Linked DNA regions of Bombyx mori. The protein of the gene in region 1 interacts with the protein of each later gene in a pairwise test. Links are inferred from orthologs where the notes say so. Each region holds a gene or a part of one and is shown in the gene's direction. Other genes may lie near its edges.

What was found. The genes of interacting proteins can lie anywhere in the genome.
Region 2: the proteins of uncharacterized protein LOC101745013 (region 1) and pre-mRNA 3'-end-processing factor FIP1 interact in a two-hybrid assay, tested with the Homo sapiens proteins (2 studies listed by BioGRID and IntAct). The link is inferred for Bombyx mori from reciprocal best matches to the Homo sapiens genes PRMT2 and FIP1L1.

Annotation. Positions count from the first base shown.
Region 1 is NC_085125.1:5,641,236-5,645,537, reverse strand, and holds the start of uncharacterized protein LOC101745013, read left to right. Parts: upstream 1-1,470; 5' UTR 1,471-1,639; coding exon 1,640-1,693; intron 1,694-1,764; coding exon 1,765-2,001; intron 2,002-2,869; coding exon 2,870-3,063; intron 3,064-3,452; coding exon 3,453-3,664; intron 3,665-3,783; coding exon 3,784-4,015; intron 4,016-4,302. Other genes in the region: mitotic spindle assembly checkpoint protein MAD1, read right to left, coding at 1-159, 580-766. UniProt on the Homo sapiens protein: Arginine methyltransferase that methylates the guanidino nitrogens of arginyl residues in proteins such as STAT3, FBL, histone H4. Acts as a coactivator (with NCOA2) of the androgen receptor (AR)-mediated transactivation.
Region 2 is NC_085121.1:13,342,859-13,347,090, reverse strand, and holds the start of pre-mRNA 3'-end-processing factor FIP1, read left to right. Parts: upstream 1-1,417; 5' UTR 1,418-1,636; coding exon 1,637-1,777; intron 1,778-1,859; coding exon 1,860-2,066; intron 2,067-4,232.

The DNA of each region.
Region 1 (4,302 bases):
CAATCAGATCAATCTTCAAACGTTTTGTTTCCCATGGTGATGGTGGTGCTGTGGTTCCATTACCACTTGAGTCTCTTCTAAGCCTCTTATCTGGTGTCACATCATCTACGCTACCGATACTCGACTTTCTTTTACCAAATGTCAGTAGATTGGAGAGGCCTATTTAATGTTTATAAACTTATTAAGTTTTGACATTTTACTTCTGAACGTCTGCAGTTTATTGAAAAGGTGACAAACTTAACTAATGGTGATTCTGTTGTTAATAACAGAGGCAGAAATATTTATGAGATATTATTTTTATTAAGACTGAATGACTGACTGACTGATGGACATACATTGCCTTTCAACTATCCCTTTCAATCAATCTTTTCAAACTAACGCGAATGATTACGCTTGGAAAACAGAAATTTAAAAAAATCAACAAATTGAAAAACAGCGAACAATAGACATGAAAACAACGATCACTCGTCTTGTTTTCAATTTTAGGTTAAATGTATTTCTTGAACTTAAATTTACATTGTACCAGATGTCTCTCAAATGTGCTAACATTTATAGTTAGTAAATTATTTCTCACTATACCTTCTTTTATAGATTGAGTACTATCAGAAAAGTTTAGATTTGTAGACGCCGATAACTTGTCTTTTGGTGGTTCAGTGTTTATGACCCTACGAAATGGTTCAAGCACATCGCTGTATAATGACATATCACTTTCTTTAGCCATCTTCTTATATTGAGAAACATTTAATTTATATTCTCGATTTATCATAACCTATCTTAATATTAAATTTTATTTGTCATTTTGCTAAAAAGTAGCAATATTAGCGTTTAAATCTGTCTATGACCAACTCATAGACATTTTTTTTTGTACAATTTTTCCTCTATAAGAAAGGTAAGGGGATCTAAGCTCATACAGCCTACTCATAGACTCACTTTATTTGTAGAGATCACTTTTATTCGTTTCATCTATTTAACGAGCAAATGGAACCCTATAAAATGTTGAAACAAAACCTAAATGTTTGTTGTATTAAAAGTGTAATGGAACTGAATAAAATAAAATTTATAACGGAATAAATTAAATTAAAGTGAATGTGGTGAAATAAGATAGTGCCATAGATTTTGAACGAGATGAAATTTAGGAGCTTCTAAGTAGTGGAAATTCATGGAGAGTTGTTAGATTTTTTAGAAAAACTCTAGTCTTCATTCAGTAAATTTGCTTCATTTTTACAGATTTTAAACCGTCAATAAGCCGTTATGAAACTTGAATAAAAAATAAAACCACTGCTAAACCTAGACCTTTTTTGATAGGTTTTTTGAAAATTGAAGTTAGCTGCTTAACAAAGCAAAGCTAGCAAAGCTTTGAATCATAGTACACTTAATGACACGTCTTATTGTCTTATTTATGGTAAAAGGCTGTATGGGCTTAGATCCTCTTGCCTTTTCTAATAAGGAAAAATTGTACCAAAAAAATCTATGGCAAAGACTAGTTTCAAAGAGTATTTAACACTACGTCTAACTAGTTTGTGGATTGATTTCCGTACATCAATATTTTTGTTTTATTTGTTTTTCGATTACCTATCTATTTTTCATTGATAAAAAACGAAATATTTTGACTAGTTCGTAAGTTAAGCGAAGAAGTAAAATGGAAACTGAAGAAGTGCAGAACAATTACTTTAACAGCTATGAAGATTTAGAGGTTAATCTATAAAAAAAAAACTAAAAAGACTAACTTTACTGAATATTTTTTTATATTATCTAATTCAACAGGTGCATACATTGATGTTAGAAGACGAACCAAGAAACCTAGCTTATAAGAAAGCGATATTAGGGAATAAATGTTATTTCAAGGATAAAATAGTAATGGATGTTGGATGTGGCACAGGAATTTTATCTGTTTTCTGCGCCCAAGCAGATGCTAAAAAAGTATATGCCGTGGAAGCAAGTAATTTAGCGAATTTAGCTAGAGAAATTGTGAAAGAGAATGGTTTCGAAAATGTTATTGAAGTTAGTATTGTCCAAATTAAATTTTTATTATTGTAGACCAAACAGTAGTACACATTTTATTTGAAGCAATTTTTTAACATTTTGATCGTCCTGTGGAAATGACATACAGTAACAGAATTAATTTTGTTTGAATACACTGTACAGACTTTGTTGTGGGGGCATAAAGGTCAGTCTTTAAGGATCTCAATGGCAAGATTGCGAACAATGACCATTAAAATACTGTATTATGTGTATGCATAACTACTGAATCGAGTCAATAGAAATCATTAATGAGATATAATGTTGTAGCTTAAAAAAGAACCCAGGTTTACTTGTATACAACTTTAATAATATATCAGTGTTCAAATGCCGCAGACAGATACAGTCTTACCAAAGAAATATAAATTTAACACAAGCTCATAATTTTTAATCTGATGGAATAAATTTTTAAAATCACTCAAGGAAAAGGGTCTTTGGAGCCTGCAGTCTCATTCACCTGTGTGTACAACAAAAAAGTAACAAAGATGTCTAAAAAATTACCAAAAATTCATATTCAATTCAATTCATAATTGAAGCACAAATTATGAAACCCAAAATTTCCAATTGTAATGTCTTCTTGTGTATTGTAGACATCTATGTAACCATTTATTTGTTAAAACTCCATAAAAAAAGAAATAAAAAAATAGTTGAATACCAAATCTTGGGTTAAATCTCCATTAGCGTTTCAATATTACATAGGACTTTCGGTTTCTTCTTTTGGTATCATCAGTTGGTTGGTTTCTTCTTTTACTTCATATGTCTTTGTTCTGGCAATTTTTAGAAGTTTCAATTGTACAAGAACCACTTACTACAGACTGATATAAATAATTAAAAACTTTTTTTTTTCTAGATAATTCACAGTAAAGTTGAAGATGTAATATTACCAAATAACATAAAAGTAGATGTGATAGTATCTGAATGGATGGGTTTTTATCTATTGCATGAAGGTATGTTAGATTCTGTGCTAATTGCTCGAGATAAGTTTCTTAAGGAAGGGGGAGAAATGTTTCCTGAAACGGCTGTTATTTATGTTGCACCATGTAGGTAAGGCAAATTGTATAAATCCTAATATGACTTTCTTTTCATTATAATTTTTATAAAATAAACAGGTTAATGAGTTAAGGCCCACCTGGGCCCATAGACTTTACCCCCTTGAGACATGACATTAAACTTTCAATAATAATATACAATGGTTATCTTACCTTTCACACTGGAATGTACAACTGCTTTACAACAGGAGTCAACACAATGACACCAATATGTAAGGGTTAAAAAAAAATTTTCCTCCACCAGTAATTTTCAAGTTTATAAATTTTGTGGGTTCAACTATTTCCACAGTGTTATTCTTTTGTCATAGAAGTCAAGATGAAACACTTGTTGAAATAACATTAACAATTTGTTAGTATCTCTATACCTTCTGTTTCTACTTGCAGCATACCTTCACTATACAACAAATGGAACAATGTGCATGGAGTATCAATGTCTGCTTTTGCTAAACATCTTCGCAAAAACAAATCCACTAAACCAGAAATTTTGAATATAGAGCAAAAGGATTTGCTTGGTGATGAAGTAGCACTTTGCTGGATTAATTTGAGGGAAGACAGTGCATCTGATTTGAATGAATTCAGCATCCAGCATGTTGTTGGTATTTAATCTTTTTATAATGCTTATGTATTTCCATTAAAACACATCTAAGTTAAATGTAAAAGTTTCAATTTTTTTATATTTTGTTATTCAGTAATTGAGTCAAAGTCCCTATTTCAGGAGCTAAAAAATCTGGTTCTTATGAAGGCTTGTGTCTATGGTTCGAATGCAATTTTCCCAGTATGTCTGAAACGAAAGACGAGAATCGTATAATTTTGGACACCAGTCCAAATAGTTTGGCAACACACTGGAAACAAACAGCAATAGTATTACCACAGGAAGTGGAAGTGGAAGAAGGAGAACCAATAGCTTTCCAACTCAGCATGAAAAGGGATACAGAACATAACCGGAGGTAAAAATAGAAGGCTTAATTTTTTATTATATTTTAAGGTATATATTTAGCTGATAAAAACAAAAAGGGATCAAAATTAGACTACCATAGTTTGATCATTCAGTCTGTAAAAACAAATATGATTTGTTAAAACAATTATTATTTTAACATTTTGTGTAATCTAATACTTAATATTAATATATAATAATAATAATAATAATTTATTTATTGCTCTCTTAAAGGTACAAGGTACATACAAATTCAAATGGAAATAAATTAACCTTATAATTTATTTTGTAAGCCTTTGA
Region 2 (4,232 bases), on another chromosome or scaffold:
TATTCCTTCACCGTGGAAGTCAATCGTGAACATTTGTTGAGTACGTATTTCATTAGAAAAATTAGTACCCGCCAGCGAGATTCGAACACCAGTGCATCGCTCGATACGAATGCACCGGACGTCTTATCCTTTAGGCCACGACGACTTTAATGCATCAGCAGAGTGCGCTGCTGTAGTTGGAACTTAGAACATTCAACGTTGTGCATTATGCCGCATAATGCGCTCTAGTGCTGCAATTGGAAAACTACCTTCAATAATATTATAATAAATTTAATACTTTATTAAGCGCCTTATTCACGATCCATCTTGCTGTACGTCCCGCCAAGGCCATGCACGATGCACGATGCATTTAGCGCTTTATTCACGATCCATCACGGCTGTACGTCAGCTCAAGGCCGCGGTGCTGGATGTATCAAGCGCGAACAGAATAAATCGAACGAATTAAATGAGAGGGTTTTAATTTATTTAAAATGCCAGCTGTTTTATCAAAACGCCAAAAATGGGAGTCCTTCTGATGTTGTCAGCAGCAGCAGAAGAGAGGCAAATAATAGCAAGAGGTTTTGGATGATTTTTTTAAACGTGCAGAGTATATTCAAATAATTAATATCATTTTTTACGCACGCTATCAATCCTTGCAGCTTCCCCTAAAATGGGCCTAAAAAATTGTAATAAGTTTATTATTTTTTGTTTATTCATATTATTATAGTCTGCGCTTGAGACATTTCACAAACATGTGGAACTTATATCTTTCAATAAATGAGTCGACTATTATCAAAGCCGGCAATCTTACTTTTGGACAATGATTGGTAAATCAGAAAAACGAATTATTGACTTTGTATTCCATTGGCAGTCACAAAACTCTTCGGAACGACATCTTAGATAAATAACAGGTTAACTATTAACCTTTATTTAATGCAGGTTTTGAACCGTATTCTTTGAAGGAGACGATTATATTCAAATGAATCTGTATTGACATATCAATAAATTTTTTTTGTCCAAATGCACAGATTGCCACCTTTGATAATAGACGACTCAAATCTTGAAAGTGTTTCACGATCCATTTTGACGTGCAGTCTCCTCTCGAAACAAGCTACAAATGTTAAATCTGCTGTACAGCAAGTCTATACACGATCAAGCACGCACGACGCAGGACCGCTCTGACGTACGTCAGCGTTATTCACTGTCTATCTGCACGACGCTCGCGGTGGTGGGGGCACTCGCTGGACGCAAAATCGGTCGTGCAAATCCAGCAAACAATTAATAATAATTATCGACGTACGTCAAGCCTATTCATGATCCTTTTGCATCGTGCATCGTGCATGGCCTTGGCGGGACGTACAGCAAGATGGATCGTGAATAAGGCGCTTTAGTATTAACATAATCTATGGTCATAGATTATACACTTATATTTGATCTATGGTTGCTGTTTAACAGATAATACACACGTAGGTACCTATAGCTGTCTAATAGCGTGTTGTTGTTACAAACAAAAAAAAGAGTACCATATACCTACAATTTGCATTTTATTTTACTGAAATTACCACTTAAATTATGTTTGTTACCTACTAATAAGTACATAATATAAAACCATTGGTCGTTCCAAATTTCGTTATTTTCAAGTTTATAACTTGTTAAAATGGCAGAAACGGCCATTGAGACCACACCGGGCGATGAAAACGATGATAATTGGTTATACGGGGATTCTGGCGGAGATGCTAACCAAGAATCCACTGAGGAAACTCAAGAAGTACAAAAATCGGCCGACGTCGTCGGTGGTGTAAGTTAATAACCTAACTACTTATTGCTTGTAAAGTTCCATAAGTTTTTTTACATTTAAACACGGTTCACTTTATTTAAAGGCTGACGAAGAAAATCAAGATGAAGAGGAAGGTAATAACGATTCGGAATTAAATGATGAGCATTTTGCTGAGGTAACGCGCGAGGATCAAAATGGTGACGCTGATAGCCAAGAGAACGGTGACTCTGACTCGGACGACAGCGATGACGTCAAAGTCACCATTGGAGAGATCAAGTCTGGGTCACAATATGCCAGCCTAAACATAAAAGTAAGTCAATTTTCGTCCCTTAGAACATTTTTTTTTATTGCCCTTTTAGGCAGACGAGCGCACGGCCCATCTGATGGTGTACTGTCGCCCATGAACTTCAGCAATGCCAGGGGCAGAGCCAAGCCGGGGCGTACTGATAACTGAAATATGTTTTTATCAAAGTAAAAACTGCCTTTAGGTAAAATTGTTTTATATCTAACATAGCCTTCATTCAATAAAATTAAAATTATTTGTCATGTTTGTGGTAAATGCATTTTACCATCACCATTTTATATATATTGCGTTTTGGATCATTTCGATGCCTCCAATGAACACTACTTAATTCAAAATTTGAAATTTTCGTTTTTCACGCAAATCGCTTCACTATTTTAAAAGTATTACAAATTCATTATTAATGGGGTTTGAAGCAAGAGTAAATCAACTAGTTACACAAGAAAAAACCATAAAATCTTTATTATTGCAGATATATTTATCAACTTTTTTCATTTAAACTCTCCTCCTGTAAACCTACGAATTTGGAGTTAGAGTAGTGTTCATTGGAGGCATCGATTTATAAGTTTACAAATGAAAATAATATACTGATACTGGAACATGAATCTTGGTATATTCTTGCAATGGACTCGGGATAAATAAAAACTAAGTACTTAACTTTAACTTTAAACTGAAGTATAAATTAAAACTTAATTTAATTATTAGAACTCTTAAATGTACTTCACAATTCCTAATTCATTTTTTCTGCTGTGCTTCAGGTGATCCGCTCACTGTTTTGCTTCTAGTAGAACTGATTACTAACAATAATAACTACTTCATGTTGTCTGTGCAACACCATTATAGTGAACATGAAATGTCAACAATTTACGAGAACGCTATTGATAGTACTTATTATTTCAATACCTATGTTCGCTATATGAGAATAGATGGAGTTACACTTCTCGAATATTCCTGAGACTATTACAGCTTTTGATAAGCATTTCTGCTATTTGGTGACCTGCATTTCTCATACCAGCATAGCACTGTTCCTCCTTAGACAAGCTTGCTATGAGTATAGTTATATCCATAATGTTTTGCCACTTGATCATACATGTACAACTTTACTCTGAATTCCTGAATCTGATAAGCAATTTCATTAACTTTATTTCAATATTCTGCACTTGGTCACTGTATTTCTAAGGGTACTGCAAACATGCAAAAACCTTTGTGTACTAACTTATCAGCTGGCTTTTTCATTATGAATGACAAAGACCTCTCACCATGAAGTATTTATTTCCACTATCACTTTCTGTCTATTTTTATTTATTTATTTATGTACACACAGAAAAGAAAACATAGTACAGAGTAATAGGAAAATTATGTACAAAGGCACTGCTTATTTCTTTAAGAAATCTCTTCCAGCATACCTGCGAGAGGATAATGAGAATAATAATAAAAAGTGATGAGTGTGTGTAGAACAAATAACACATAACTAAAATAACAAATACAACATGAGAATTATAGTAATCCACATACACATAGCAAATATGTCGCTATGAGCAATTAGTTCCAACATTGTACAATTTTAGTACACCTTTGACACATGTGTCGGAACCTTTAACTGCAGTACATTATCGATATCAGTCCTCAACATCATTTCGGCAATGGTTACAGTGGATTCGCTTTCGGAATTGCGTCCTTTGTTATCCCCTATCATTTGTAAATCACAATTGAATCTCCAAGCATTTTCCCATTTGTGGCACAAAATTCACAGCTCTAATCTCTTAAGTCTCAGCTCCCACTAGTGAATACTTGTACCAGGTTCTTATAGATAAGGGCCAGTGAAGACCCATACAGTAAATTCAAGCACTGCTCTTGATAGGGCCAGTTTTTTTTATTGCTTATGTGGGTGGACGAGCTCACAGCCCACCTGGCGTTAAGTTGGACGCCGGGTGTAAGAGTGCAGGGGAGTCGTTTAGTGGGTGGGCCCTATATTCCTTGGGCCCGCGGTCTGCTCTCAACACCTGCAGATCGTTGAGTCTCACATACCCCGCGCGCCCCCTAGGCGCGGGGACCTCGTAGGAGGTTCGGCAATCGGCACGGAAAAAAAAAAAAAAAAAAAATTGAGCCCATAGACATCTACAACGTATATGCGCCATGCGCCACTCACCTGATATACGTTCTTAGGTCTCAGTA